Tribolium castaneum: one gene and its partners. The protein of the gene in region 3 purifies or fractionates together with the protein of the main gene of each other region. This does not show direct contact. Links are inferred from orthologs where the notes say so. Each region holds a gene or a part of one and is shown on either strand. Other genes may lie near its edges. The genes, in order: SmD2, Prp19, U2A, noi, Prp5, SmF and Sf3b3.

What was found.
Region 1: the proteins of U2A (region 3) and SmD2 purify together in Homo sapiens (affinity purification with mass spectrometry; 5 studies listed by BioGRID and IntAct, counting the BioPlex papers as one, with this or other methods). This does not show direct contact. The link is inferred for Tribolium castaneum from reciprocal best matches to the Homo sapiens genes SNRPA1 and SNRPD2.
Region 2: the proteins of U2A (region 3) and Prp19 fractionate together in Homo sapiens (co-fractionation; 3 studies listed by BioGRID). This does not show direct contact. The link is inferred for Tribolium castaneum from reciprocal best matches to the Homo sapiens genes SNRPA1 and PRPF19.
Region 4: the proteins of U2A (region 3) and noi purify together in Homo sapiens (affinity purification with mass spectrometry; 6 studies listed by BioGRID and IntAct, counting the BioPlex papers as one, with this or other methods). This does not show direct contact. The link is inferred for Tribolium castaneum from reciprocal best matches to the Homo sapiens genes SNRPA1 and SF3A3.
Region 5: the proteins of U2A (region 3) and Prp5 purify together in Homo sapiens (affinity purification with mass spectrometry; 3 studies listed by BioGRID and IntAct, counting the BioPlex papers as one, with this or other methods). This does not show direct contact. The link is inferred for Tribolium castaneum from reciprocal best matches to the Homo sapiens genes SNRPA1 and DDX46.
Region 6: the proteins of U2A (region 3) and SmF purify together in Homo sapiens (affinity purification with mass spectrometry; 3 studies listed by BioGRID and IntAct, counting the BioPlex papers as one, with this or other methods). This does not show direct contact. The link is inferred for Tribolium castaneum from reciprocal best matches to the Homo sapiens genes SNRPA1 and SNRPF.
Region 7: the proteins of U2A (region 3) and Sf3b3 purify together in Homo sapiens (affinity purification with mass spectrometry; 5 studies listed by BioGRID and IntAct, counting the BioPlex papers as one, with this or other methods). This does not show direct contact. The link is inferred for Tribolium castaneum from reciprocal best matches to the Homo sapiens genes SNRPA1 and SF3B3.

What each region holds. Positions count from the first base shown.
Region 1 is NC_087395.1:17,190,710-17,193,575, forward strand, and holds SmD2 (probable small nuclear ribonucleoprotein Sm D2), read right to left. Parts: upstream 1,109-2,866; 5' UTR 1,009-1,108; coding exon 652-1,008; 3' UTR 628-651; downstream 1-627. Other genes in the region: Vps51 (vacuolar protein sorting-associated protein 51 homolog), read left to right, coding at 105-217, 263-371; serine-rich adhesin for platelets, read right to left, coding at 1,869-1,964. UniProt on the Homo sapiens protein: Plays a role in pre-mRNA splicing as a core component of the spliceosomal U1, U2, U4 and U5 small nuclear ribonucleoproteins (snRNPs), the building blocks of the spliceosome.
Region 2 is NC_087395.1:23,125,691-23,130,705, reverse strand, and holds the start of Prp19 (pre-mRNA-processing factor 19), read right to left. Parts: upstream 3,298-5,015; 5' UTR 3,290-3,297; coding exon 3,166-3,289; intron 3,044-3,165; coding exon 2,894-3,043; intron 2,850-2,893; coding exon 2,386-2,849; intron 132-2,385; coding exon 1-131. UniProt on the Homo sapiens protein: Ubiquitin-protein ligase which is a core component of several complexes mainly involved pre-mRNA splicing and DNA repair. Required for pre-mRNA splicing as component of the spliceosome.
Region 3 is NC_087395.1:21,924,412-21,928,262, reverse strand, and holds U2A (U2 small nuclear ribonucleoprotein A'), read right to left. Parts: upstream 1,959-3,851; 5' UTR 1,873-1,958; coding exon 1,791-1,872; intron 1,745-1,790; coding exon 1,597-1,744; intron 1,547-1,596; coding exon 1,194-1,546; intron 1,139-1,193; coding exon 1,013-1,138; intron 964-1,012; coding exon 929-963; 3' UTR 827-928; downstream 1-826. UniProt on the Homo sapiens protein: Involved in pre-mRNA splicing as component of the spliceosome. Associated with sn-RNP U2, where it contributes to the binding of stem loop IV of U2 snRNA.
Region 4 is NC_087397.1:5,206,071-5,210,740, forward strand, and holds noi (splicing factor 3A subunit 3), read right to left. Parts: upstream 2,704-4,670; 5' UTR 2,561-2,703; coding exon 2,465-2,560; intron 2,413-2,464; coding exon 2,206-2,412; intron 2,157-2,205; coding exon 2,084-2,156; intron 2,027-2,083; coding exon 1,713-2,026; intron 1,664-1,712; coding exon 1,527-1,663; intron 1,479-1,526; coding exon 1,139-1,478; intron 1,088-1,138; coding exon 886-1,087; intron 837-885; coding exon 703-836; 3' UTR 650-702; downstream 1-649. Other genes in the region: neuropathy target esterase sws, read right to left, coding at 14-107, 158-262; NF-kappa-B essential modulator, read left to right, coding at 2,979-4,490. UniProt on the Homo sapiens protein: Component of the 17S U2 SnRNP complex of the spliceosome, a large ribonucleoprotein complex that removes introns from transcribed pre-mRNAs.
Region 5 is NC_087399.1:718,342-723,291, reverse strand, and holds the start of Prp5 (probable ATP-dependent RNA helicase DDX46), read right to left. Parts: upstream 2,938-4,950; 5' UTR 2,800-2,937; coding exon 2,786-2,799; intron 2,721-2,785; coding exon 2,547-2,720; intron 2,499-2,546; coding exon 1,660-2,498; intron 1-1,659. Other genes in the region: bug (thioredoxin domain-containing protein 15), read right to left, coding at 3,222-3,967, 4,016-4,055. UniProt on the Homo sapiens protein: Component of the 17S U2 SnRNP complex of the spliceosome, a large ribonucleoprotein complex that removes introns from transcribed pre-mRNAs.
Region 6 is NC_087398.1:3,706,027-3,708,996, forward strand, and holds SmF (small nuclear ribonucleoprotein F), read right to left. Parts: upstream 1,357-2,970; 5' UTR 1,241-1,356; coding exon 1,066-1,240; intron 1,014-1,065; coding exon 922-1,013; 3' UTR 825-921; downstream 1-824. Other genes in the region: calmodulin-like protein 4, read right to left, coding at 1,648-2,063, 2,112-2,142, 2,193-2,195; mitochondrial coenzyme A transporter SLC25A42, read left to right, coding at 2,648-2,796, 2,840-2,970. UniProt on the Homo sapiens protein: Plays a role in pre-mRNA splicing as a core component of the spliceosomal U1, U2, U4 and U5 small nuclear ribonucleoproteins (snRNPs), the building blocks of the spliceosome.
Region 7 is NC_087394.1:10,462,772-10,466,995, forward strand, and holds part of Sf3b3 (splicing factor 3B subunit 3), read right to left. Parts: intron 3,475-4,224; coding exon 3,140-3,474; intron 3,079-3,139; coding exon of another isoform or gene 2,997-3,078; intron 2,821-2,996; coding exon 2,669-2,820; intron 2,595-2,668; coding exon 2,439-2,594; intron 1,837-2,438; coding exon 589-1,836; intron 96-588; coding exon 1-95. UniProt on the Homo sapiens protein: Component of the 17S U2 SnRNP complex of the spliceosome, a large ribonucleoprotein complex that removes introns from transcribed pre-mRNAs.

The DNA of each region.
Region 1 (2,866 bases), about 4.7 Mb from region 3:
TGAACTACATCTAGTTGGCATTCCGATAATTTACAGCAGAGGCTAGTTTATTAAGGCATCATTTTGTGGAGGGTTGAAGCATTTAATCAAAAAATAATTTCTAGACGTTCATGGAGTGCGTACGTCTGAAGACTTTTAGTAAATTTGGCCTCCAACAAATTCAAGTGGACACGCATTACTTGCAGTTGTATTTGTGGCGATTTGTTGCGGATGAAAAGTACGTCACGAATTTGAATTTAGTGAAATTAATTGAATTTTCCAGCTTGGTTCATTTCCTCCTGGATGAGATTTTGGGATCAGCAGTCCACAGGTGCCTGGAACCGATTTTAATGGAACCAAGCGTTGTGGACATCATATGTGAAAGGGGTTAGGTCATGCAGCTTGCATAAGTTACAAATATTTATTATTCTTTTGTATTATCTTGTTTAAATAAAAAGGAGAAATTTTATCACATTTTGTTGTATTATTTTTATAGATAAATGTTAAAAAACCGTTCAATCTTTCATTTGCAACGACATGAATGTGATATTTCCACAGTATCACGTTCGCGGTATCAATCAACCGCAGAACAGAAGGACCACACGAGTGAAGTGATAGGTAAGTGAATTTCCTCAATAAACACTAAACTGAAGATACAAATTTTATTCCTAATTAACCACTAGCCGTAGCTAGGGGGTTCCTTACAACTATAATAACCGCATCGCCTCGCAGAAACATTTTCGAAATGAACCGATCCTTATTTACCGGCTTGGCTTTCTTCTTCCCCTTTCCAGGCCGGGGCAGCTCTGTCCACATTTCCTTCACATTCTCCAACACTATGTTGCAGTGCCGATCGAACGCCTTCACCCGCCCCAGCAATTTCTTGTTGTTTCGGCAGTTTATCAGCACCTGAGTGTTGTTCTTCACCGACTGAGTGAGCACCGAAAGGGGGCCCGTGTTGAACTCTTCCTCCTCGCGAGCCTGAAGCTCCTCGGCCGTCATTTCAGACTTGGGTTTCGTTAAAGCCATTCTGACTCGGTTTTTGCACTTAAAACAACACTTTTTCCGGCACAAAAATAGTTAGGTTAGGAATTTGAGCGTTTTGGATGCGTTTGGGGAATTTTGCAATGCGCATGCGCAAACTGGGTTTAATACTATGGCGGCAGATTCAAACATTTAAAGTGAAGAAAACAAACTTCGAATTAAATCAACAATTATTCTTCTCACATTTAAAGTTACATTAAGATTACTCTTTTGAATAATTAATTAAGAGTTTTAACATACTCAAAAACCACGATCTAAAAACTAATTACAAAATCGAGCAAATAAACCAATTTATAATCCATTGAGATGAAGACGTTAAATATAAGAGCAACAAGCTATTAATGAATCAGATAGGGGAATGCACCGTTTATTATAATTTAACTAGAAAATGTAATAAATATTGCAAATACGAGTATTGCAGTGCATTTTTCCAACGAAGGGAGTTTAATTCCCAGCAATTTGTTAGCCCCAGAATCGAAAATTAAATAATTACGATAAACAATAATCACTCTTTATTTATAGTAAGTATAACAATAAGAGATAACCAGTGCAAGTAATTATTCCAGCAGCGTGTTTATTTAAGTATACAAGCAATGCCAACGCAAATAATAATAGAATAATCATTAAAATGCAGTGAGGAGCCGATAAACCACCCCGTCCCGCTATATAAATTAAATACTTGAAGAAACGCACCAGAAGAAAGCCTCTTGTCCACCCGGTATTAAGTAGTTGCGCCGAAGGTGATGTTTTTGAAATCTCCTCGGTCTGGCTGCTTTATACCGCATGGATGAAAATCACCAAAAAAAGTCTGTTTTCTTGTCACACGTTGTCAGATTTAATAATTCTTAATTCGACTTCCTCATTTGCGGCGTTTCCTGTCGCCGCCCGTCTAAGGTCCCGCATTTGAGGCTTCGTTTTTCATGAGTTCGGTCTTCGTGTGCCTACCTTAATTCAATTAATCAATTGACCAGATGAATGGAATAAAGTTCATATGTTTGACATCGACGATGAACATATTTAAATCTCGTTAGGGGCCACTTCGGACTAAATAGGATAATAGCCGATGCTTACGGCTGCTTGCTGAATGCCTCTTGTGTCGAGATACACGCGCTGTATTCAATGATATTGTTTGTGTTGGGCAATTTTCTATTTTTGACGCAAGTGTTTATAAGAGTGGACTTTTGCTCAGGTAATTTTTGGGGAAATGTAGAGTAGTTCTATGTAGAGGAGTTTGATTTGGAAATGATTTTCCGGGCGTTTATACGCGAAAATTTTCCAAGCACTTGCTATTAGTGTTAATTTTGTAATGTTTTAGAGAGTAAAGGGGTACCAATCATGCAATCAAACCAATCAACGGCGGCATTACTACACATATTTTTCGAATGACATCGAATCTCATCTTTAGTCCTTAGATTTTTTCTTAACAACAGTTCCAATTTCATAAATTTTCTGATAAAAGAAGAGTCCAGGCAGAAGTATATTTTCTGTTACAGTTTTAATAATCTTCGTTCACCCATTAAAAAAAAATCCTATAAATAAATTTACTAAATATCTAAAGTTGATTCATAACTTGACTGTATCTAATTAATGTAAGCTAAAATCGCCCTAAACCACCTAGCAAATGAGTAATGCTCATCCAGCGGGAAATATTATAGGATATTCACACAAAAAAAGTTATAAATAAAAAATTAAAATTAAAAGAAAACAAAAAACTATCAGAAATTTTACAAAAACAAAACATTTTCTTTCCTAGCAAATAAACAAAACAGATAAACATTTTAAAGAGGGCTTTAGCTTAGTAATAATTATTTAGTTTTCTGAAACTACATAGATAGCTATTTTT
Region 2 (5,015 bases), about 1.2 Mb from region 3:
GCCACAACTTGTTCCGTGTCTTTGTTGAATACGGTGGCGTTGCGATCATTACCACCGGTCAGAATTTTGCTTGTGTCGGAATTGTGCACGTCAAGGGCCAAAATACCGGGGACGCTCGCCGAATGCAGCCCCTGGAGGCAAAGAAATTACTCTGTAAAGTGTACTCTAGCTCAATAAAAAATGTAATCTGCTAATTTTCGCCCGAACTTGGTGATTTTTCGGTTTGCTTGAACAAACTGAAAATGTGGTTCAAAACCTTAATAAAAGTAAAAAAAGATTAACCAAATTTAGGTCAAAAAATGAGCTGAATTAAAAGTGAATTTTTGGCAGTTTTGGCGAGTTCTAATGAAATGAAGAATTTCCTGGTTCAAGAGCGAACTAAATAAATGGTATCAGGTGTTCATTATTTAAAAAAAACTCGTAGCATGCTCTGACATTTTTACGGATTTCGTAGATCAATTTTTATCATTGTATTGTTGGTTGCCTATCAACCAGGTCATCACAATTCATAGCCAAAGATTGTTAAATAGTGTTCAAAGGCGATGTGTTATGTGTGTTGAACAACAAGGAAGACATTTCCAACAGTTTTTATAAATAATAAATAAATTTTATGATGAAAATCTGTTTTCTTTTAGTTGTCAAAAAGTAAGGTTATGAAAGAACGGATTAATCACAGACATAGTAAACAATTATTTTTTTATTTTCAAAGCACTCTAGAGTTTTTTTTAAATGAACACTTGTTATTGTGTTAATTAATTTGATGATTTTAGCCAATTCTAGCAAAAGTTTGTGCTTACAGCCCGGAAAAAAGTAAAACTAACACAATTTTCGACTTATTTATAATGAGTTTTGACGAATTTCACTCAAACTCAAATATACTAAATAATTAAATAATAATTAATGTCGATTCACTTATGTGACAAGATATTACAAAATAAATTAGTTTCCGAATGGTTTTGAACGAAATTTTGCGGAATATTTGTGGTTTTAAGTGTAAAACGTATTAAAATGATCGCAAATGAAAAATTAATGTAGTTTTCTATATTTAATTTGGCGATTAAAACAAAAATTCAAATGTGCTTGAAAGCATGAATAAAGAAAAAATAAGAATTTTAACAATTTCATTGGTTTCTTGTCTTGTTTTTGGGAACATTTCATTCAAAAATAAGCTGATAATAAGTTTTTGATTTTTAGGTGTTTTGTCAAGATCTCGTAAAATAAAAGAGTCGGCTTTTTATTTTTTTTACGAAATTTGGAAAACAGTTCTGTCTTAAAAGCGTACTAAAATGCTCGTGAACTCGAAAAATAATAAAATCTTAGAATTAATTTGGTGTTTTTTTCATCTACCTTTTTAGAAAAGCCTCAAAAAACAGAAAAATTATTTCTGCATGTTTTTCTCAGTTGGTTTTGCAAAATTTCGCCAAAAAAGCTGAAAATTAAATTCAAAAACGTGCTCTAAAGCTTAAAAAACGTAAAAATTTTGATCAAATTTTGTGGTTTCTTGCGTTTTTTTTTAAAGGGAATTTCGCGAAAGTTAATCAAAGTTAATAAAAACAAAATAATAAGTTTATATTTTTATTGTTGGGAAATAAATAAATTCCTGGCTCAAAAACAAACAAAATCGAAGGGAATGGTCTAAAATAACAACCATCTTGATGTAAAAATAGTGCTTTTTTATTAAGTTTTTGTAATGTTTATAGAAAAAAGCTTAAATTGTTTTCAAAAAAAATTTAAAACACTTGAAAACAACAAAAAAATGTAACATTTTCGCTCTTATCTTAAAAAAAAAATTCGAAATAACTACATTGTCGAATGTTATACGAATTAAATTGCCGGAAAATGGCAAAAATAACAAGATTTCAACGAAATTTTGCTTTTTGACTGCAAAATGTATTACGAAAATAGAAGATTTCCCAAATTAATTTCCTGATTTCTCAGAATAAGTTCGAGATAAACAACCTGAAATGACATCATTTTCGATCACTTTATTGAAATATTTAGATATTTACTTAAAAAAAACAACGCATTTTTGGCTCAATTCAATTAGAATTAGGTTAGAAAGAAATTCTTTTATTTGAACGAACATTTAGTTAAAAAATATCAGTGTTTTGAACACATCCTGTGACTTTTGGCTTATTTTTGATGAAATTTCGCCCAATAACAAGCTAAATCGAGTAAATCCAGCAAAATAACACCAACCTTTACACGTTTTTCCAATTGGTAAATGTGCTAAAACACTCGTAAGAGAGAAAACTAAGTCATTTTCTACCACATTTAGTAATCTTTGCATTTGTCAAGTGAAATTTTTAAAACGACAATTGTGCAAAATGCAAGAGATGTTCGGGGAAATACTGGATGGTATAAATAAAAACATTGAAAATATACCGGATGTGAGGCCAAAGTCTTGAATCCCCTCAACTGCTCCGGCGTGGACACCTCTTCAGGCACCGTCTTGCTCCTCTTCTTCCTCTCCTGCGTCAACACCGTGGCCTTGTCCTGCAGCTTCTCAATCACTTCATCAGTCAGGCCGCATTGCTCTGTCGGCTGGTTGGCGATGCCGCCGGCCTCGGCCGCCACCGCGGGCTGCGGCACCGTGATGATGCCCGCTTGGGGCTTCAGCGTGGCCAGCGCCTCCCTGGCGGCGGTCACCTCCTTGTTGAGGCGCGCGATCACGCGACACGCGGCGTCGTGCTGGTAGAGCGCGTGGCTCAGCTCCTGGCGCGCCGTCTGCAGCTGCTGCCTCTGCGTGAAGCTGTACAGCATCACGGCGTCCCACTCGTCCTGCAGCAGCTTCAGCGTGGCCGGGATGCTGGTGGCGCTCGGCGGCTTCGGCTTGACTATCGGCGGGGCTGTGTGGCGGTTAGAACCGAACAAGTTGGGTTAGGCTACTCACTCTTAATTTCAATGAGCTTGTCCACGGTGAGCTCGTCACCGCTGATGGGGTCCTTGCCGTGCTCCTGGATGTACTTTTCGATGATGCGTTTTTCGAAAATCGCACCCGACGTTGGGGACACGACTGGGTGTTCCGGCACCTCGTTTGAAACTGAAACCGGGCCAAATCGTTACCCAAACTGCGCCAGAAGCTCATTACTGACACTCGAATTAAGTTTTGATTCGTTAAAAAAGCGTACTTTATTCAAAATCGCAACAAAAATTCATACTTACGGGCACAAAACAACGCCATTTTTGCTAACTTAGCTTGATGTGTCGCCAACCGCACAAAGTGAAAAACACTGTGGCCGAGATATCTGTGCAGATGCACTAAAAATGATGATGGCACCATGAACATTACAGTCGACCAGACAATCGTTGCGCGCCTGGAGCTAGCAACATTCTCGTTTCTACAGCCAAGTTCACACCAGGAAAATTATCAAAATAATCGTAAATCATTAGAAAAACATACCCTGATCATTCTAATGTGTTTCTATTACAAATTAAAACTTGACTACATTTTTATTCTTATATTCAAGCAATGCAAATTGTTTTTTTTCACCCCCTTTTTACCGTGCAATGTTCATTATTTTTGTAGGGGAATAAGCCCTTCGATAGGGCCTTCGGCTGTAAAAAAATGTCTCAATTTTGCAAACTGCGTTAAAAAAATTCGTATTTAAAGATTGCTCTAATCAGTCAAATTAATAACTAATTTGTCCAGCAAGAACCACGTGGAGGTTTAGAGCATTCTTGCCAGGAAAAAAGGAAATAAGGATGAGGTAAACAATGATTATTGGAAAATAAAAGGGAATAAAGACATTACTGGTTTGTGTAATAAAAAAAAAGTACACAAAAATCAAAGTTTTTCACTTGGCGTTAAATAAATGTTCTTACCTTTATACTGCATCTGCTACCATTTGTAGCAAAACCTAAAAAATAAATTAAAAACACAACCAACAAAAAAAAATAATTTGTAGGAAAGTTACAAAAAGCGACACTAATAAATATTATACAGAATAAAGGATGCACAATACGGTATAATATATGGCACACAAGCTATTAAATTCAACACATCACAAGATAAAACGCAAAAAAATGCACCTACCTTCATATGGCTTCTGCGTTGGCTACTGTTTGTAGCAAGACATTAAAAAATAAAAACAACACCAATAAAAAATCTTTATTTGCATGAAAGTTACAACAAGCAACATTTGTCAATATTAAACAAAATAAAAAATACACAATACGTTTTAATATGTGGCAATTTAAATTTAAAACTTCAGTAAATAAATACACCTACCTTCATATCGCTTCCACGTTGGCTACCGTTTGTAGCATTAAAAAAATAATAATAATAAAAATGAAACCAAAAAAAAATGTTTGCATTAAATTTAGAGCAAGTGACTTTCATCGATTGAAATTAAAGACAAAATCAAAACGCGACGATAAATTGTTTGAGTGTTTTCTTTTTAGTTACTGAATTTAAAACTCAAACTATGACTTTTCAACACCGTATTAGAGCCGGTGTACACAACATTTTATTTGCAATTAAATTTTAACGAATTATTGGTTTGTGAAATAAATAAATACGACACAACAATAAAATGGACGTACCTGTGTTTCGCTTCCACGTTGGCTACCGTTTGTAGCATAAAAAATAATAATAATAAAAAAGAAACCAAAAAAAAAATGTTTCTTTGCATTAAATTTTGAGCAAGCCACTTTCATTCATTGAAATTAAAGACAAAATTATTACGTGGCAATAAATTGTTTGAGTGTTTGATTTTATTAATAGTTACTGAATTTAAAATGAGTCACTCAAACTGACTTTTCAACACCGTATTTAGAGCCGGTGTATACGACATTGTAATTGCAATTAAATTTTATGAAATTATTGGTTTGTGAAATAAATAAATACGACACAACAATAAAATGGACGTACCTGTGTTTCGCTTCCACGTTGGCTACCGTTTGTAGCAAAAAAAATAATAATAATAAAAAAGAAACCAAAAAAAAATGTTTCTTTGCATTAAATTTTGAGCAAGCCACTTTCATTCATTGAAGTTAAAGACAAAATTATTACG
Region 3 (3,851 bases):
AGTGCTTTATTTAAACTGAAGCATAACACATCATTCATTTAATAACCCAAGTTGTTTTTTACAAAAGCGAAGATACGACTAAAGTCTATTTTGTATTAATCAGCGACTGACTAAACAACTAATCATTTAAAAATTTAATTGAAATCAGGGTCAACTTATAACGTGCAAAATAAAAAAATCTAAATAACAAATTTAGATTCACGCTATTAATGCCAATGTACTTTTTTGTATTTTTCATTTCAACAAAAATAAGTATACCTATTTTTTCTAGTCATTTTTTGTAAAAAACTACAACAAATAAATTATGAAAAATTAAAAAGATAAAATAAGTGACGCGAATTGTTATAGAAATAATTCCAAATCAACTAAAACATTCTGAAATGAAAAAATTTATTTGAACTTTGAAATATTCTAAAACCACTATTACCACACACTTTGAAAAGTATTTCGGTCACTTTAGACACAATTTCCAAGGCGCTCTTAAAATGACACGAGTAGCCACTAAAAAGTATTCGCAAGACGGTTTTGAGATAAAAACAATTTTTTATTTTTTACATGTTTACAGACAAATTTAAAATCCGCAAAATTTAAAAAACTGGTTTATTTCTGTAATTAACATTACTTTTGCTCGCTGTGAAAACTAAAAACTAATTTTCTTCGAAAAATTAGCTGCAAAACAAAATTTGTTGTTAGCTTATTTCGTTCAATTAATTTCTGAAACAGATAAATCTTGCCAGAAAGGCATTGTTTCAGTCGGGAAAGATTGAAATAATACCCAGTTATTGTACGTATTGCTTTATTAGAAAAAATGAAAAATTAATTCCGCTCGCTTCTCAACCTTGTATTTAGTGTAGTACAATACTCTTATCAACCGGAACTTATAAATAAAACTAATTAATTGTACACCTGACTGAAAATTACCTCAAACTTATTCATATTCCATACTTTGTCCATTTTGATATCCTGAAAAAAAATATTACATTTCCCACAATAAATCATAGAAAAAATTAACCGTTCATTTCTTCTTGACCAGGAATTTGACCAGACTGTAAAATCTTCTGTAACCGTTCAACCTCTTCCAAAGAACTGGCCTTATTGATAGCTTCACGAATTTTCGCAATTTCTTCGTCTGTAAGGCCTTGAAAAAATAATTAAATTGAAAAAATAAAACTCACAGAAAATGTAAGACGTACCTTTACTTTTGGCAATACTGTTACCTGTACCTCCGGGAATAAACGTCTTTGCCCTTTTCCCAATTTCTTTCCTAATCTCCTTGCCTTTCTTACTCTTAAACAGAGCCCTCGCCTCTTCCCGTTCCTTAGCTGTGACTTTACGAAAATCGAGCAACCTTAACTGCGGTAACTTATAAATTAGGTATAGCCTGTAATGCTGCTTGGAAGTGATAGGGTTATGTAAAAGACTAACTGTGGTGAGCTTCTCCAAAGTGCACAACGGCTCAATATCACCCAGCTCTTCCAAGTGGTTCCCAGTCAAAATCAGCGTCTCCAAATTAGGAATGTACTCCTCCAAATGCTCCCCAATGCGTCTAAAACCCCAAAACTCAAAAAAAAAAAACGAAAAAACCCCACAACTTACACAATACGGTTATTGTTAAAAAGCAAACATTTCAACCGCTTCAAGTACGGAAAACCATCCAACTTGCGCACATCATTGTCCGAAAAGTCAATTGTGTCGAACTGGTCACCGGTGGCCCCCAGATTTTCCACTTCGGGGATGCGATAACCTAAAAAAAGATGACTTAACCCAACTTTTTTACATTTGGTCCTCACCTCGTAAGTCCAACTCGCGGTCTTTTACCGGATTTATGTATTGCATGGAATTTTGAATCAGCTCGGCTGTTAGCTTCACCATAATTAGGTTTTAGCGAAAAATTACAATTAAACAAACAACGCACAAGCCATCAATTTCACCGACTACCGTTACAGGTTTCTGTAATTGTTACACGAATACCTGTAGAGAGCGCCCCAAACGCAATTTCCCTGAATTTCCAAAAATTTCCAAAATTAAGATGAAGCAATAAATATCAATCATTGGGACCAAATAATTAATAATTTAATTTTTGTATCAAAACATGGAATCTAAATATGAAAAAATACAGGAAAACGTCGTTAATCCGAACCCCTTCTAACCCGAAAAACAAACTTACTTTTAACTGTTAACAGCTGATAATGATAATTTGATAATATACTCCGTATGTTACATTATTGTATTTTGTAATAAAAAGTCCTGCTTCAGTTATTTATTTATTTTAATTAGGTAAGAAAAAATTAATTTCATAATCGGGAAAACCCCAAACAAAAATGGCTCGGATTCAAAGGCTTCACTATATACAAAAACACGTCTGCCAACACTTATTTCAGCGATTTGTGTTGGTCACAAATATGCTAATTCTGGCTAAAAAAAGTTGCTAAACAATAAGAAAAACACAATGAATGTGTGGAATGTACGTTTGAAGTATTATTATCTGTCGGATTCCCCGCATCGTCATTAATTAATCAAAAAATGATTTCGTGAAACGAATCAAGCCATTGTCTTCTTCACTTCCCCTTAGAGCAAAAAACAAGAGCCAAATTATTCATTGACGTCACAAATGTTTATCCAAACCGAACGGGTTTATTTCCATTGAACTTACACCAATTACGCGCCGATGAGTGATAAAACTCGTTCCATTCTTAATCTGGAAGAAAATTTCCTTGTGACTTTTCCGAGCTAATGAGACTTGAAGAATGCGCGTTTCGCGATAAGATTTATTACCACCTGATGATAATTAATTGTGAGCCGAATTGTACTTGAGGGAAAGGTTTCTCACATCACAAATTTCTGAAGGACCCACTTTAAATACGCAATGTGTAATAATTGTATAATGCCACCCACCTGAAAGAATGCAATTGTTGCCTTGTTTACTTATGCTAATTGGAATAAAAGTGCGAGTGTCTTCGGAACAGTACTGCAAATCGCCTAATTTAGCAGCGCTGCATACACAGCGTCTATAAATATCCCACTTTATTAAATAATTATGGAAATGCAGCCTGCGGTCGTTACCGAAAATATGTGAGAAGGCTGCGCTCGCTTCCGGTCGGCAGTCCTTAGGCAAGGACTTCCCCTGAGTTAAATTCCATGTTTACAAAAAGGTGAATCATAATTAGCTGCATTGTCAACTTTCGAGCCGATCGCGCTGATTTGAAATTCGTTTCAAAAAGTATTTAATAAAATAACATCATTAACCCACATTCGTGGACGACAGAATGAAAGAATGTCTAATGATGTGGTATTGCAGAAACACTAGTACTACGGTGAAGAAACGCATTCAAATTAAACGACACTTAGCAACTCTCACAAGTTATACAAAATTTTTGCGAGTCACAATACAATCAGCGCGACCTTAGATTATTCAAATTTGGAGTAACGGAAATATCGTCCAGTGTCAATGTAATTCGTGTTACAACGAACTCTGTGTTACATGCAAATCTCACGAAAAAAACATTTTTATTTTTCCTTATCTCCCAGCTTTGCCTCCAATTACGTGTTTACGGAGAAAATCCCAAGGCCTGGCCACTTTTTCAAATTCTTTCCCCATGTATCACGCAACTTGAGATTTTTCTACCAAGTAAAATTCGGTAACAAATGTTAAATAAATAAGTTTTGGTGAGAAAACTTATTCCGAATTAAGTAGAAAAAGTGGACCAGATTTCGGTGATAATGAAATACCAGACAATGGGTCTTTGTTTGTTGTTATGAAATAGTTGCGACTAATTAATCCAAAAATAATTAATGCCAAGATCAAGGACGGATAAATTTTGAGGAGAGAATAAAAACCATCGAAAACAGCT
Region 4 (4,670 bases), on a different chromosome or scaffold from region 3:
CACTAATTTGTACCTTTTCGGTGGCATTTTCGTATGCAAAAATACGTTACTGAAATTATCGTTGCGAAAATCGCTGCCAGTAACACGGGCAGTAGCTGGAAGCCCCACTGGAACCCCGTGATTACGCAAAAACTGATTCAAATCGCAGTTTTCTTACCTGGTACGTCTCTTGAGTCGAAAAACTCGAGAAGACCTCACCGAACCAACTGGACTTGAGGGTTTCTTCATTGTTTAAGTTGTATACCGCATTTAATACGTCCATTTTAGCTCGCACATTATAGAAATTAGACTCTGATGATTAAAGAATTAGTGATTAAAGGTTGAATAAAATCACAAACCTATTTGGATGAATTTACCCACTTATGTGTCAAAGTCAAATCTGGTCAAATCACAGGCACAAACAAATGCGCATCGTTCGGTAAGTGAGAAAAATTGCAGCCGACTGTGCATTCAACCGAACTCTAAAAACACGCTAAATGAGTACTTAAATTATTATTTATTTACGCAGAAACTACTGAATAATTTCTTAAGTAACAGGAATAATTTTCACTCTCTCTATCCCTATTTCGGGCTCAGTTTTGTACGTTCGTGCTAACGAACAGTCGAAAATTCCCCTTCCCAAGGCGACCATCAAAATAAAATGTCAATATTTAAAGTTTTGTTTATGTTTTTTATTGATACTTATTGTTAATACAGCACAAATTACAATAAACCTTGTCTTTTAAGATCCTCGTAAGTCTTTCTGTTAACGACGTTCCCTTGCGAATCCTCGTACTCTTCCTCTGTTTCAGGTTGCCAACGCTCTGCCTGTTTTTGCACTTTGAGCTTCTCCCACACTGGAAAACAACCGTAACAAGGTAAGAAACCAAAATTGCAACTTCTTACGTGCTAGGGCATCCTCAATTTGCGTCACGTTGGCAAAATGCGCGGTATTGGGGATTCCCAGACAGCGCATTCCATGAGCGTGTCTCCACTCCGCAAAGTGTCTTTGAAACGCCTTTGGTCCTTTATAGACGTAATTGCCGCAAATTTCGCAGTTGTAACTGATATTCAAACCGTGGAGTTTGTACAACCAGTATGGAATCGGCTGCAATTACGAAACAATCAATTTTACCAACTTACTTTCAAAATCACATACTTTTCCATCCCAGCCCAAAGGTAAGTTTTTGGGGTTGTAGGGAACGTCATCGTCGGCTTCATCGGGACTTTCCTCCTCACTCTCCTCATTTTCACTATCGTCTCTTTCACCATCCGTCCGCGCTTGTTTTCTCTGGACATTTTCCTTAGTTGCCGCGCGTTGAGGGGCGACCAGCTCGGCCAACCTATAAACTTGTGCCTCAAGACAGGCCAGTTCTCTTTGTCTCATTTGCTCCTTTTCCTTACTGGCTTTGCCAGATTTGTTTTTAGTCATTAGAGACGGATCTAGTGAGCCTTTGCCCTTGGTTGAAAATAAACGCTGGGCACGCTCTTCCAACGTCCTAAATAAATAATTAGAATTTTATTTATGGCAAGACGTAAATAATTACCCGCCACATTTTAAACCAAGAGCCATTAGGGCCGACTTCAATCTGTCCAAACCTAAAGAAGCCAATTCCTCCCAACTTGAAAATGCGGACAAGTCTAAATGGGCCCCAACGTTCGCCAAGGCCGACCCTGTCTCTTTCTGAAAGTAAATGAAGTAGTAAAAATAAATTAGTTTTTTACCAAATTACGGGCCATCCTGGAACAGTCCCATTCTCCCACTGGACCATAACATTATCAACTTCGTTTTGCAAATCAGCATCAATGTCCATCAAAGGTTTGACTCTTTGCACGAACCAAGTTAAATACTCAATCAAGCAAAGCAAATATTTGCGATATTCTCCAGTTTTGCGTTCTTTAGGAATGTCATAGAGCTGGTCAAAAGTGCCCAAATATGTGATATAATCAACCTTTTCAATGCCTTTCAAATTGATATATTTCTCGTAACATTCGTGCAAATCCAAATATTTCCCATAACCTTCCTCATCCGTAAATTCAACCAAATCTTGAAAAAACAAACGTAATTAAACAACTGTGATCACACGAGCCTAGCAAGACTCACTTGCCATTTCTTCAGTGGGATTTTCACGCGCTTTGGCTAGTTCATCGAACTCAACAGACATTGGAATACTTATCTGAGAAAAAAATCATTACACAAACACACAAAATATTCAAAAACTATACCTCATTAGGATGCTTCCTGTAAAAATCTTTAATCTGCTTGAGACGATTGTAAAACTCCTGAAACTCATTTGGACCTGTAAGGGCAGCGACTTCCGCTTTTCTTTGCCCGTCCTTGTCCTCATACAGCTCAATCAAACGATCAGTGGAGGTCATATATTTGTCTAGCAGAAATTTAAGGCGATAGTCCGAGTTTATTGCCTCGCGGTACTAAAACAAAGACTCTGTCAGGGGGCAAAGCGCCACGAGAATCACAACTTACCGTTGTTTTTTTATGTAAAATTTCTTTAACCATTGCGTCAATGAGACGCTCTTTTTCCTCGTGATAACGCCGTTGTTGCTCCAAAATCGTCTCCATTGCGACTTTTTTTAGAAAATTGCGAAAATTATTTATTTACCCGACGCCATCAAATGTCGACTGTCAAAAAATGACAAAATGTCAGCGTAGAATAAGAGAGAGGTGCACCATTATTGTCACACTAGAAAATCACTAAGCGGTTTTTCTTTGACTTTACAATTTTTTTACGACTACAGTTGTGTCCCAAATGAAATTTTACGTAAATAGTTATGCCACAATAACATTTTTAGAGCTTTAATATTCTTAAAAAATTAAATTAAGGCTAAGGCGACTTTTTATTGGTCCGGTTGGTAGCAGTGTCTTTAATCGTGTGTCAGTAGTTTGGTATTTTCATATTCTATGTTCTAATTCATTCTATTTTGCGCCGCAAATGTAGTGTTGTACTGCAGCTGTTGTTAAAACTTGAAAGTCATCAAAAATGAGTCGTGACGAGTCCTTCGTTGCTGTGAAAAACACTGCAGAGTCCATGGTTCCGTCAATCGGGTCCGATGATGAAGATTCATTTGTCGTTTTGGAAACTTCAAATTCCATCAGCGAAAGTTTGTCTTGCAGCCCTCCAAGGGACGAAATCTTGCCCCCAATAAGGACAAATAAGGTTCACGAAATGGAAAATCTAATCAGGATGAAAATATCACAAATTACCGTTGATCCGTTGCCAGAATTACCAGCAGCTGTTGATGCGATTGTGCCCTCAGTTGCAAGTATTGCAATATCGCCGGATTCGTCGTATGAAGAGATTCAAAAACAAGTGGAAGAACTGATTAAGGAAAACGAAAAGTTGAAGAATATCATCGCACAAAATAACATGAGTATGAAGGCGCAGTATACGAGGTTTTTGGCCTACAGGGATGAGGTCACCAATGTGATGAAGTCCTACAAAGATAAGTTCAACGATGCCAAAATGTGCATAGATAAGTATAAAGAAGAAAATGCAAAGTTGGTTAGTGACGTTGAAGTTTACATCAATCTTAAAAAGCTCCATGAAGAAGAAATCTTGAATTTGAAACTGAAGCTTAAGGAATTGGAAAATTTGACCAACGGCCCCAACTTTTCAGTTGTTGACACAAGGAAATTAGCAATGATGAAGGATTTAGAACTGAAACAGGAAGAAATTGAAAGACTGACGCAAAAATTGGTGAATGTACCGAACCTTGAACAGGAATTACAAACCAAGCAGCAACAAATTGACGACTTTAAACTGGATATTCTCGCCGCAAAAAATCGCGAAAGCGACCTAATTGACGAAATCCAGTCAATGAAGACAACAACCACCGACCTCCAATCAAAATTGGATAATTTAACAAAAGAAAACGCAAAACTCGTCCAATCATCGACGGCAGCCCAAACCTACGACCAGCTCCTCAAACTGAAAGAAACGGAAATCTTGAAACTGAAGGAAGAACAACAACGCACCGCTTTCGTCGAATCCACCCTCAGTGATGAGATAAAAACCCTAAAATCGCAACTTAAGGAGCTCCAAGACAAGTACAACCCGCGTTTGGCCGAAGATTATGCCCAATCCCGGGCCCAGTTGAGCGTTGCCCAAAGGACAATCACAGCATTGGAACAGGAAAGGGAACAGAAGATTAAAGAAATCGAAGATTTGCGTAAACTACTTCAAGAAAATACAAGTGCCAACGACGAAATGTTCGCATTGAAGGAACAAATCGAAGTGTATAAGAACGATTTTGAAGCAGAGAAGAAGAGCAAACTTGCGATGAAACAAGAGAAGGACCAGGTTGTTGAAGATTTGCAGAATCTGCAAACGAGGAACAAACAACTGCAGAATGAAGTGGAGAGGCTGAGGGCGAGGAACGAGCCGCCGAGGGCCGAGGGGTATCAGTGCCCCAAGTGCTCGTTCGGATTTAATAATTACCAGTCATTGGAAAATCATGTTCATAGGTGCTTGGATTTGGACGGTTTTCCCTAAATATATTTTTTGACTAGTATTTGTTTATTGTTCTTATATAAATATCTAAAGGAATTAATAAGTTTAACAAGGCCATCGTAATTGTTTGGAAATGTATTATTTTGTAGTTACTGTTCCTCGTTTACAACAATAAATACGAGTTAATAAAGTTCTTATTTGTCTCATTTTACCACGCAAACG
Region 5 (4,950 bases), on a different chromosome or scaffold from region 3:
AAACAGGAATTTTAAGACTTTGTTTGCATCAGGAGCTGTATGGATTTTTAATAATGGAACGACGCGCTAATAAATCCGATTATTGGGACGTAAAGGTTTTATTGTTTTAATTCTCATCAAGGGTGCCGATGCGAGACCGGCATCCAAAGCAAAAGCGCGAAAAAACATCATTTCTTAACCAAATAATCAATTACAAAAAGTAAATGTTTGGTCGCTAAATTGTTTGCTCTGTAGTTTCAGCTTGCAATTTTCAGCAGCAATTCTTAGAAATCAGGGAAAGTAGCACCCAATAATAAAACCAGTTTTTGTCGCCTTTTTAATCGCCTTGTGATTGGCCTGTTTTGTAGTTGGGAGCGCATTAGTCCATCAATAACCAATGGCAAACACCTTAATCGTGTTGCAGTTTTTTGTGCCGTAGATAAATTAGTCGGGGACAAATCAGACGATAAACAGGTCCCGCCCATAAAACTAGAATTTCGTCTTCGATGTGTATGAATAATTGTAATGGCCGGCCGACAATGTGATTTAATTTGTGTTTAGAAAAAAAATTCAAAACACAAAATCACAGTTTATCGAAATTTGATCTTACAAAAGGAATGATTATGTAATGTTGACAAATATTAAGACAGAAATAGATGAAAGCTGTTTATTTCAAAAATATTTCCAGCTTCTCTTTGACTAAAAGTCTGGGATTGATAATAGATAAAAATCTATTCTTAAAGAATGTTATTTTCGTAATAATTATTATTAATTATTAATTAATTATTATTGCTTGATTGCCACTTTTTATTTAGTTATTAGTTATTCAGTTTCTTTTCATTTTATATTTTTTAATAATTAATATTAAATTTTAAGATGTTAAGTGGAATATCTGTGACAAAACTTCGCCTCTTCGTCCATTTATTGTCTTTTTTATATTGTTCTTTCTTATAATCCTTCTATAATTTTTTATATGTATTTTTACCAATACTTATTATTTAATATAAAGCATTAATTAAAGGTCAACAAACGGTGTTTCAAATAATTATTAAATAAATTAGTTTTTCCAATTAATTTACCAATTTTCGTCGACTGTTTGAAATATTTTTCCGACAAATTATTATAAATTAATGAATATGTATTTTTATAGTCAACCGAACAATAAATATTCCAAAATATTGCCATAATTGGTTCCGATTATGTTGTATTAAATTTTCTTTCTTTTTCTATTTTGTTTCTTTGTTTTTGTCGATAGACAATTTTTATTTAGTTATTAATTATTCAGTTTCATTTTATTTTATAATTTTTAATAATTAATATTAAATATTAAGTGGAACACCTGTGTCACAACTTCGCCTCTTCATCCGTCTTTTGTGTTCTTTTTTTGTATTGTTCTTTTTTTTATTAAGATATTTTTGTTCCCCCCTATTATTTTTTATATGTATTTTTACCAATGCCTACTATTTAATAAAGAACATTAAAAGTCAACAAACATTGCCTCAGAAAATCATTATTTATCGTCGACTGTTTGAAAAACAATTTTCTTCCACGAATTATTAAAAATTAATTAATAATAATCGACGATTATACTGTACTACACTGGGTGTTAAATAATAAAACAACTTTTGCTTTATTTAGGCAGTAGTAGAAAAAACCTTGCATTCAACTCAAAAACCCTACCTTTGACTCGAATCCCCTCCAACTCCTCCTTGTAGGCCTCCACCTCTTCGTGCGTCATCTTGGCAATTTCGGGCACTTCTACGTAGAAATTCTTCCGAAACGGTAAATATCTAACCATGTTATGATCAATTTTCGCCAATTCCTTCTTCTGCTTATTAACAATACTCGCAGCTGTGTCTTTCAAGTCCTCAATTTCCTCTTCAGAGGAGTACTCCAGACCGTCCTGATTCTGCTCAATCAACTCACCTTTGTTTTTATTAACCTTGGATTTGGCCACCCCTGTTACAATAACTAAGGCACCTTTTTTATTCCCGGACTCGGTTTTGGGCTTTTTCATGTCAAGTTTGTGAGTCTTTCTCACTTCTTCTTGAACTCCTTTCATATACTCGTCTAGAGGATCGACTTCCTCTTCTTCTTCTTCTTCTTCTTTTTTCTCTTCTTTCGCTTCTTGTTTTTCTTCCTGTGGCGGTGCTTCCCCGTTTGTTTCTTCCTCGACTTGATCCTCCTTCGTTTCGCCTTTGTCTTTATCCTCGTCTTCGGAGTCGTTTTCTAGGGACCATTTTTTGGCAGTGGCTTCGTCAGTTGTTGTGGTTGCATTTGGTGCATCTTTCTTCATTTCTTCCTCTTTCTTCTTGCGTTCGGCGCGCCAACGCTCAATGCGTTCGCGGCGTTTTTGCATCTCAAGTTCCAACTTTTTTTGCTCTTCTTCCTTGTCAAGGTTCGCCGGATCAAAAGCCAGACCTGAATCATCCTTCTTCCGGTCTGTGGATCTGGAGCGAGACCTGGACTTGTCCCGACGTCTGGATTTGCCAGAACTGCGCTTCTCCTTACTGTCACCTCTTAGAAATTCCAACTTTAATCCAGGAAAAAGTGAAAATTAAACAAACCTTCGACGGTCTCGGTCTCGACTGTACGAACGCCTGTCACGCTCTCTCCTGTCTCTGGACCTGCTGCGCCTCTCTCGGGACCTACTTCGACGGTGGCGGCTAGACCTGGACCTGTCTTTGCTCCTGGAGCGCGAACGGCGCCGCTTCCGGTCGGGAGAACGGCTCCTGTCGCGTCTTCAAAAGGGGCAAAAGTTTGGTTAGACAATTTGGCCAAAAAAAATTATTATAGCTTCACTTACCCGCCCCGAACCATCGTAAGTCTTTAGTTTTTCTTAAAATTGGACCTAAATCAACTAAAAGTAAGATTTTGTGCCCCAAACATAACCTAATCTTTATTTACACGGTTACAGTTTTCTGTAATCTGACAAAGAAAGTGATCGAAAATCCCCAGATTTGGTGTTTTTTGTGTTTATGCTTGGGGATTTTTCGAGATAGTAGAAATACCAACTGCGACTTTTAGGCAAAAAAATTATTTTAAAATATTGCTATGGGTAACGTGTTTTAAAACTAGGATTTAGATATTAAAAAAAGGCTTAAAATGTTATCAAAAAAAAAGATATGGAAGTTTTTACTTTTTTTCCGTCCCAATTTTCTTTTTTTAGTACAAACTCAACACACAACAAAATAAAACGCAATTAAATTCAATAAAAATAATTTATTTAAACAAAAAAGGGCCTAATCGGCATGCTCATGCTGGGCGTGTGCCTCCGACTCCCTCCAGTTGCTCTGAATGGTCTCAACAATCCACCCCCAGCACTTGGACTTCGTGAAATAATAAGCCCCACACAGAGCAATAAAAACCCAGGAAATGATCAAAAAAATATCAAATTCGCGCGCAGGGACACTGGTGACAGGCCCCTTGAAATCAGCCGAGGTCACAATTGACTTTTCGGCAGCCGCAATCCCCGTATGTTTGGCCAAAAATTTGGAAAAAAGCTCAAGTGTATACTCCGACTCATTAAATTTAGCAACGGGTCTCCCGTTATGAAACAACATTAACGTGGGAACCCCCACAATCCCGTTCTGCGTATTAAACAACCGATAAGCCAGCGCGTTGATAGCCACCATTTTAATATCGGGGAAAGCCCTTGGCAGAGCGTTAAAATGGGGGGCTGCCATGCTGGAAAACGGGCAATATTTCGAGTAGAACAGCACTAGGATGCACCCGGCGGGGGTGTCCCGGCTCGTGATGTTGCTCTGGGTGAAGAGGAGTTTAATGAGCTCGGTGTCGTTGACTAGTTGGACTTCGGGGGCCCCAAAATCGGGCAAACATTGCACGAGTTTGAGGGTTTTGTTGCTGGATGATTCAGTGGTGTTTGTGAGAGTTGCGTTGTGGGTGGAGTTGGTGAAGGAGGTGAGGTTGCTGGAGATGTCTTCCACAACTTCGGGCTCCTGACATAACGTCAAGTGTGAGGTTATGACTAAAAAAAGTGTTACGTAATGGGGTTACATCATCAGGGGGCACTTACTTATCGCGAGGAATGTGAAAAAATGTGCAGAAAAAGCCATTTCGTGTCTTATTTTATCATTTCGAATTATTGATTTGGTTGGGTTAAAACAAGCGATACAGAAATACAGAACGGGCGAATTATGATGGCCGACGTTTCAAATTTCGGCGCAAATTATCTTGAAATCGTAATTATTTTGTAATTACGTGAAATTAATACCAATAACTAAATTAAAATTTAATTTTTTATTAAACTTGCGTTTGTATAGACTTATTAATAAGTTAATTAATAAGTTTTGTATTTCACATCAAGGAGGCTAAACTTTATTTCTGATATAAAAATCACTATTTTACGCATAATTTTACGTTATTCTTTCTAAATCTCTAATTGGTTTTCTTTCTAATAAATTTGTAATCTATTTACAAAGAATTTTAGGTCTTAGATACATTGTTATTTTGTTCAATCCTTTTGTGGGATTTTTTAATTTTTAAAAGGTTTTTGTTTTACTTTACTTTATGCTACGGAAGACTTTAACTTAGGAGATGAAACAAGAAAATTCTGAACCCAAAAAAATAGTACAGCAGAATAAAAATGAGAGCGCTAGTAACCGAAAGTTTATTTGCGTTTCACTTTATATTTTTGCAAACGCTGTGGAAACCGTAGAAGATACAAAAAAACTGTAAGAAACAAAGTTGTAGAGAATTAAATTCTCTAGAAAAAAGTCTCCGACATCATATTTCTACCTTCAACAGTTTAGGCGTAAATTAACTTTCTAGTACTTGACCACCGGCAAAATGAAGCAAATCCGTCGCTTGAGCGCCTTTGAACGACTTTGGGACGAAAATGGTTAAAAATCGTGATATGGTCTCGCAGACTTTTTTGTAGAAAATTTAATTCTCTATAACTTTCTCCCCAACATTTTTCCTGTAACTTTAACCGTATTCGCAGCGTTTTGA
Region 6 (2,970 bases), on a different chromosome or scaffold from region 3:
AACGAGTCGTATTACTATTAACAACTGTAGCAATTGTACTTTTCACTTTTAGTATGAATAAATAATTAATAAATTTTGAATTTTTATATTACTTTTACTTACCGTTCAGTGAACTTTTCTGACTCCTGTGAGTTCGCAGTAAAGCGATGGCAGTCCATTTATCGAACTCGCTGTATACAAAAAGTATGGATAAACTGTTAAATTTATTTGAAATTGAAATTATTTAAGCCAGCGTTGTAATTTTACTGAAAATATTGACCAATAATTTTAGTTTTATATATTTTTTAGGTATTGTGTTGCTATCCACAGTTTTTTTGGCTGATAAAAGGGTTTTTGAATTTTTTCGCTTCGGCCCAAAAAATATTTTTAGTATTTGACTCTTCATTTGATGACACTTAATTTTTTTTTAATTTTTCTTGTGACCAATGTGTGCCAAAGTTATCAAATTAAATTAAATTGATGCTTTTTAAAATATAAAGTATGTTTTGGCTCCCTCTCGGGTAAATGCAAAAGCAGGTGTATGAGAGGTAACTGTAAGTGCAGGGGAACTTTCTTCAGTTGTGCTGCTATCTGTTCGTTTTGCCGTTAACTACAAGGATTTAATTTACATTTTTGGTACTTAATTATCATTTCCTTATTCCATTATAATTATTTATAGAACACTGTATGTATCCCCCACTTTATAGCGTCCTTTAATGTTAAACAAATAAATATATTTTTGTATTTTTTTTCAAAAGCAAGTTCTCTTGTTTATAATCCGTAACAGTTTGTGTATTTTTTTTGTGGTAGACAATCGTAACGTTACATGTAGAAAAAAAAACAAGTACTTTAACACGATTTATTTGGTAAAAAATTAAATCTACAATACTTATTTACGTAAGTATCCGATCGTACATTTAAACTTGAATTTACATTAAATAATTAATCCTTCGTCTCTCCCTCCTCGTCCTCTTCTTCAGCCCCTCTTATGAACAAGACATTGTTACATCTAATTAAAACTTCCCCTAAGTTACCTGTAAAAAAATGTTACACAAGGGGGTCCGCCTCCAAAGCATAGTTACATACCAGTCATATTCCCATCAATAAATTCCTCTGTGTTTGCTAATTGTAAATTCATGTAACCATCAACTGAGACAAGGTAACCTTTATATTCGTGCCCCCACTTCAATTTTACCATCACAGCCTTGCCTGTTAGGCCGTTGAGGAAAGGTTTGGGGTTTATGGGCATTGCGGTCGACATGGTTGTTGTTTTTGTGTGCAAAAAATCGCAAATAAACTAAAAACGTTGACACAACGCTAACCAGCAAAAGTGAGGTTGGAATCGAGCGACAATTGTGTCAATTGTCAAAATTTCCATCCACCATCGACGTATAAAAAGTTGATGGGTGTCTGATTTTTTAGGGCGCATATTGTTTTTTTGTGATTCTTGGACTAAAATTACCGTAATTAAAAAAAACAAGGATTGTGGTCAATTAATGATTTATTGGCGTTAGAATAAATAACTGTGCGGGGGTTGATTGCCGGCTCTCTATTTTACCAAACCGAAAAATCATTGCCAACCCCCCAGTGCGAAAATCCGAAAATAAAAATTTGTGACATGTGTTTTACATAATTTCGTGGAAAAGACTGTGTTAGGGTAAGCCCCCTCTAGTAATAATCCGGCACTGGTGCACAGGCAATCTTAACAAAATCCTCGTACCGCACCATACTGTTGTTATTAACATTTGCCTCTCTGAAAATCCGATCAATTTCCTTGGCCGAAAGACACTCGCCCCAGTTTTGCAACATGTGACGCAGCTGCTTGGCCGGAATCACCCCTTTCCCCTCCGGGTCCCCAGCCTTGAAGGCGTCCACCACCTCCTTGGGCACGTTCTCCACCCGTGAGTGAATATGCATAACCTCCAAGAAGTCAGCAAAGCTCATTTTGCCGTTCTTTTGCTTGAAATAACCCGCAAGCTCTGAGATGGTGGGCGACAGCCCCAGACTCCTCATTATCACTGTGAGTTCGTCCAGGGACTTGATGTGCCCCGAGCGCGCAAACAAGTAGAAACACTCGCGAAATTCTACAAGATTTACGAGTTAGTTTGGGGGGCTATCACGGGGGTACCTACCGTCAATGTCTTGCTCCTTGAAGTAGCGGGCCTGAAACAAGCTTGATTAGGTTTGGGGTGGGTTTAGCGGGTTATTTTTACCATTTTTCTTGTAAATATTTACACGTCAATTGTATTATTATTATCAAGGTGAAACAGGTGAAAGTACAGTTAGCGTCACGAAATTTGGCACAGACTCGTCATTAATGAATTATTTATTTTTATCTCTGATAAAATGATGATTTTATCGCCCAATTGTGCCAGGTAATTGTTTGGGGCCCCGATTAGTGGGAGCCCTTAATCAGGGTTGTAAACCCCCCGAACGAATCGATTTATCGCCTCATTTCTAACGTAATTTATTAATAAATAAAGTTATATAACAAAACAGCTCGTCATTTGCGATAGTCTTATCACTCCACGCTTAGATGTTGTTAAATCCCCGTCCAATTAAAAAAAGGTAACACACTTTGAACTTTGCCTCCTTTCCTCCGACTCTCCTCTAATTCTTCATTCCCGTTCCAGTTGACCCAATAATGCCTTGATTAGTCTTCCAAAAAATGGCTCGTAAAAGCCATGACCCTGTTTCGAGTCAGCTGAGCAACACTCAGATCGTCCTCACTAGTCTGTGTGCGGGCGCCATAGCGGGGGCCCTCGCCAAGACCACGATAGCCCCCTTGGACCGCACAAAAATCAACTTCCAGATCAGGTAAGCCCCCACGTTTGGTACCCCTCTAACTGGCTTCCTGCAGCAACAAACCCTATTCAACTCGCAAGGCGTTCAAGTTTCTGCGACAAACGTACCACCAGCACGGGTTTCTGGCCCTATGGAGGGGCAACAGTGCCACCATGGTGCGCATTGTGCCCCATGCCGCCATCCAGT
Region 7 (4,224 bases), on a different chromosome or scaffold from region 3:
CTCTTGTACCGAACCATGAAAACAGACTCTTGAACGTCCGAAACGAAAATTCGTTTGCCCATGGCTTGAATATTCACAATAGCGTTTGGTATGTGCTGAAACGAATATCCTAATATTAATATTAGCACCTACACGCATAAGTAAGGAAACATTGCTGGTTTAAGAAAGAATCAGAACTGCAGGATTTCAACACCATTTCAGAAAAAAAATTTTTCATCATTTATTAATGTCTAAAGGCAAGTTATGAATCAAGTTTCTTTAAATCAAATAATACTGAAGATACACAATAATATTTACTAAGATAAAAAATCGAAATGATACGGAAGTTGTTTCACAATTAAAAAAAGAGGTTTGTTAAAATAATTTTGAAGCAGATTAGTATGAAATAGTTCTTTTTTAATCTTGAAATTATGTCCCTCCCCACAATATATTATCGTTATAAAGTTAATACTTAAAAAAATATACTTTATTAATTTTTAATTTCAGCAAAAAAATATTTCAGTGTACATCAGGAAAGAAGCAATGCCATTGCCTTAGTCTAAACATCTGAATTATATCAATAATGATTAAACAAATGATAATACTAACCTTGTTTTCACATTTCCTTAAGAGTTTCTTCTTCCCCATATCGTAAAGCCTCAACATCCTGCCAACTCCTGCAAGTAGCAGTCCATTATAAGCACAAAGGGCCATTGGAACTTCATCAACAGGAGTTCTATGAACAAATTCCAACTCCCGACCCATTGGATCCATTTTATAAGTATCCAAAAACCCAGTGTTACAATGCCTTGGATTTAGTTGAAAATCTTTAGAAATGCCAACAATCAAGAACAGAGTTTGTTGTGGCTGATTTTGGAATTTAACCAAAACACTAGACATTGCTGCCTCGTTCTGTTCCAATCGTATACACTTATGCACGATTCCTTGTACCGGATCCATTATTTTAAGCGTCGAAGCCCACATTCCATGCCCGGCTTTAGGCGCCGAAAAAATACTTTCGGGCAAGTCTTCATTCAAAAACGCATCGGCCATTTCTTTAGCCAACTCTTGTTCTTCTTCACCTGCGGCTTCTTTCATTTCTTCGGCCATTTGTAATCTTCGTTGTTTTTTGGTTTCTTCGGTGTAGGCATTGTGCTCGGTTTCAATGATCAGCAAATTATTGCTTTCAGGATGGATTATAAACTTCCTCGGGGTGTATTCAAGCGGAAATGAGACTTGATTAAAAACAGCCCCTAGTTTTTCCAACGCCAAAATACGTAACGTATTTGTGGAGATCGCAACAATGCCTTCTGGACACTGCTCGGAACTGAACCCTGAGGCATATTCCAGACTTTCATACGAGAGTGGAGTCAAATAAAACCGACTTTGGTAGTAATAACTCAACCAAGAACGGCTACTCATTGCCAGAACAGCTTCCGATTGTTGCATTCGTATTCGGAAGAGTTTGACCGGTCTCGAACCCAAATATCTCGTTCTTGTGTCTGACAATTCTCCAGAAACTGGATCTAATACGTTGCGAAGTAAAGCGCCGTTTGTAAGTCCAATGTTCAGATATAAGGTGCTTGTTGTGCTGGCAGCTGCAGCGTTATCCGGTTCACGATCTGTGCAACCCATTTCTACGATACATAAAGACTCGGCACAAACGGGTAATCCTTGGATAGAACGCGGCGCCAAACAATCGCTCGGATCTAGCGAGATAATCCGTACTGTACTATCGGCTAATCCCACGGCAAGGAAGAGGGATAATTGTTCGCCGGGCGCCACGTTTGCTAATGCCATGCAAACGACGTCGGCGTTCATACGTTTTCGTTCTTTGTATTCGTGTAATTGGCCCGTCTGTAAAACACGGAATTACTACTAAAAGATCGCTGAAATTGTGAAAATCTCAAGAAGTGAGTCCGCTTGTGTGATTTTATCAGAAAACTGAACCGAATTGCGAATGGAAATTTGCCAAATGAGGGAAGCGACTCAAGCGAGTTAGTTAATAGTCAGAGTTCTAAAAGTCTGTATTTTCTTGAAGCTCTCCGAGAGCGTATGACGCCCTGCTATTGTCACTCAAAACAGTCGAAATTCTCAAGCTTTTATAAATTTTAGAATCCTAACTTGTAAGCAAAAATATTCTCCACTGAAAGAAAAACAGTATTTTTTACTTTTTAATGCATCTTTTTTCTAAAAAACATTGCAATTTGATTAGATCACAGTTTTCGGTAATTGCAATGATTTTTGCTTATGTTTCAATAGTTTAATAGTTTAGAAAAATGAATGCAATTTGATATTTTTGTTACTTTACGATGTATCAAATGCAGCAATTTATTGTAAACGGAATAAATAAGCGAAAAATTACCGTTATAACACTTATAAAGTTAGAGTAAACTTGCATTAAAGACAATAACGCCTTGAATAAACTGGGATAATAATTTTTGAAGTAAAATATTTACCGGATCCATTTCGAAGTAAGCTAGTTCACCCCCTGACAGTGCAATAACCACTTGTCGTTGATTAATTGCACACTTTACGATTGTTTTCTTCCCTGGAGCTTTCCACTCATTTACACGCTTATCGGAACAAATATGCCGAATACCGCCTGGATACACCTAAAAATAAAAAAATACAATAATAAAAAATCAATTGCAAATTAATATATAGAAATGGGCATTATGAGAAGTACCTGAACTAAGGCATCGTCACTAAGAGCTGAACAGGACAATGTTGGTGTCGTACCCAAAAAGCCACTGTCTGTAACCTCCTCCACAGTTTCACCAATTGACAATACCAAAGTTGCGTTAACGAAAGACACAATAATATAAGCATCATATTCATCTGTAACAAATAAACCCAAAATGATAGTATTTAAACCAAGTATCTTAGATAATACTAAGTTGTCATAAGAAAACTCAGTTATTAACTATAATCACAATGATTCAGTTGAAACACGGACAAAAAATATCATCACTGTTTCGTTAATTGTCCCCCGTTTTTCTTTTCTTCCAACTCACCTTACTCCCGCAGAACGACAAGCAAACCAATCGCCATCTGAAATAAAAAGCAACTGGTGTTGAAAATCGTTCAACCACCAGGCTTTATTAGAAATTCATTCACAATGAATTTCATTTAAAGTAATAAAATAAAATAGGCTTACCGTCACTTCTTCTCTTAACCGTCCAAACGGCGTTGGGATTGCCAGGAAGCTCGGACACGGCCATCTCAGACACTTCGAGACCGTGTCGTAGAACCCGCAATGAGGATCTCGGGCCTCTTCCGCAAAGCATATACAATTGAGGAGTGTCTTCACCTGCCAGATCAGCAACTCGACAAGATAGAATCGGTGAAAGCGATTCCATTTCGTCGACCAAAACCAAGTTACGAAGGGAACGAGGCGCGAAAAAAAAAGTGTCACCTTCTTCTAAGGGCATAGCGGAGCTAAACTCCAACTCATCGTCGTCGTCACCAAGATGGGCGATCTGATACAAGTAGCTGAAAAAATCACCCATGAAAATATTTTGACATTAAAAAACTTAACAAATTATTTGATTTCAAAAAATAAAGAATAAAAAATAGACATAGTACAGAATTACTGTAAATAAAATTAGTTTGCGACGAATTTTCTTTATTACTATTTAGTATTATTAATGACAAAACAAAACTGAAAAAAAAAATGTATCTCCTTGATTCACTCCATAACACCACAGAAATGCGACGGAGGCGACAAGAAGAGGTTAATATTGCATGGAACAAAAACAGACAACCAATTAAATAGATGCCTGAGCAGATCCATGCGTTTTTTATTCTGTCACTTAGGCTATTTTATAATGTTTTAAAATTTTACCCGACTTTGTAAATGAGTGAAACTCTCCCAAAATCGAAACCCTTAATAAGCGCAGCGGAAAATACGAGAGTCTACCAGTCGTTTTTGAACTAATTGACGCTAATAAATAAAATTTGTTACAGTTTCTTGTTTTTAAATAAATTAATACGTCTTTTGTATGTTTATCAATTGTGTAAACGAAGGTTTTATTATGAACAGCCAAATTGTTTTAAACATCTATCCATCTATTAAACTATGCAGTTTTTAAAATAATTTTAAACATTTCATTTTAGAACGTGAGCTTTAAGAGATATTTTTATCTTTATCCTACCCTTTTGTTTTTCAGAATTATTTTATAGACTCCATTTTTTTACGTTGTCAAGAATTTTTTTCAGATTATTTTTTAACATTCTTTCTGT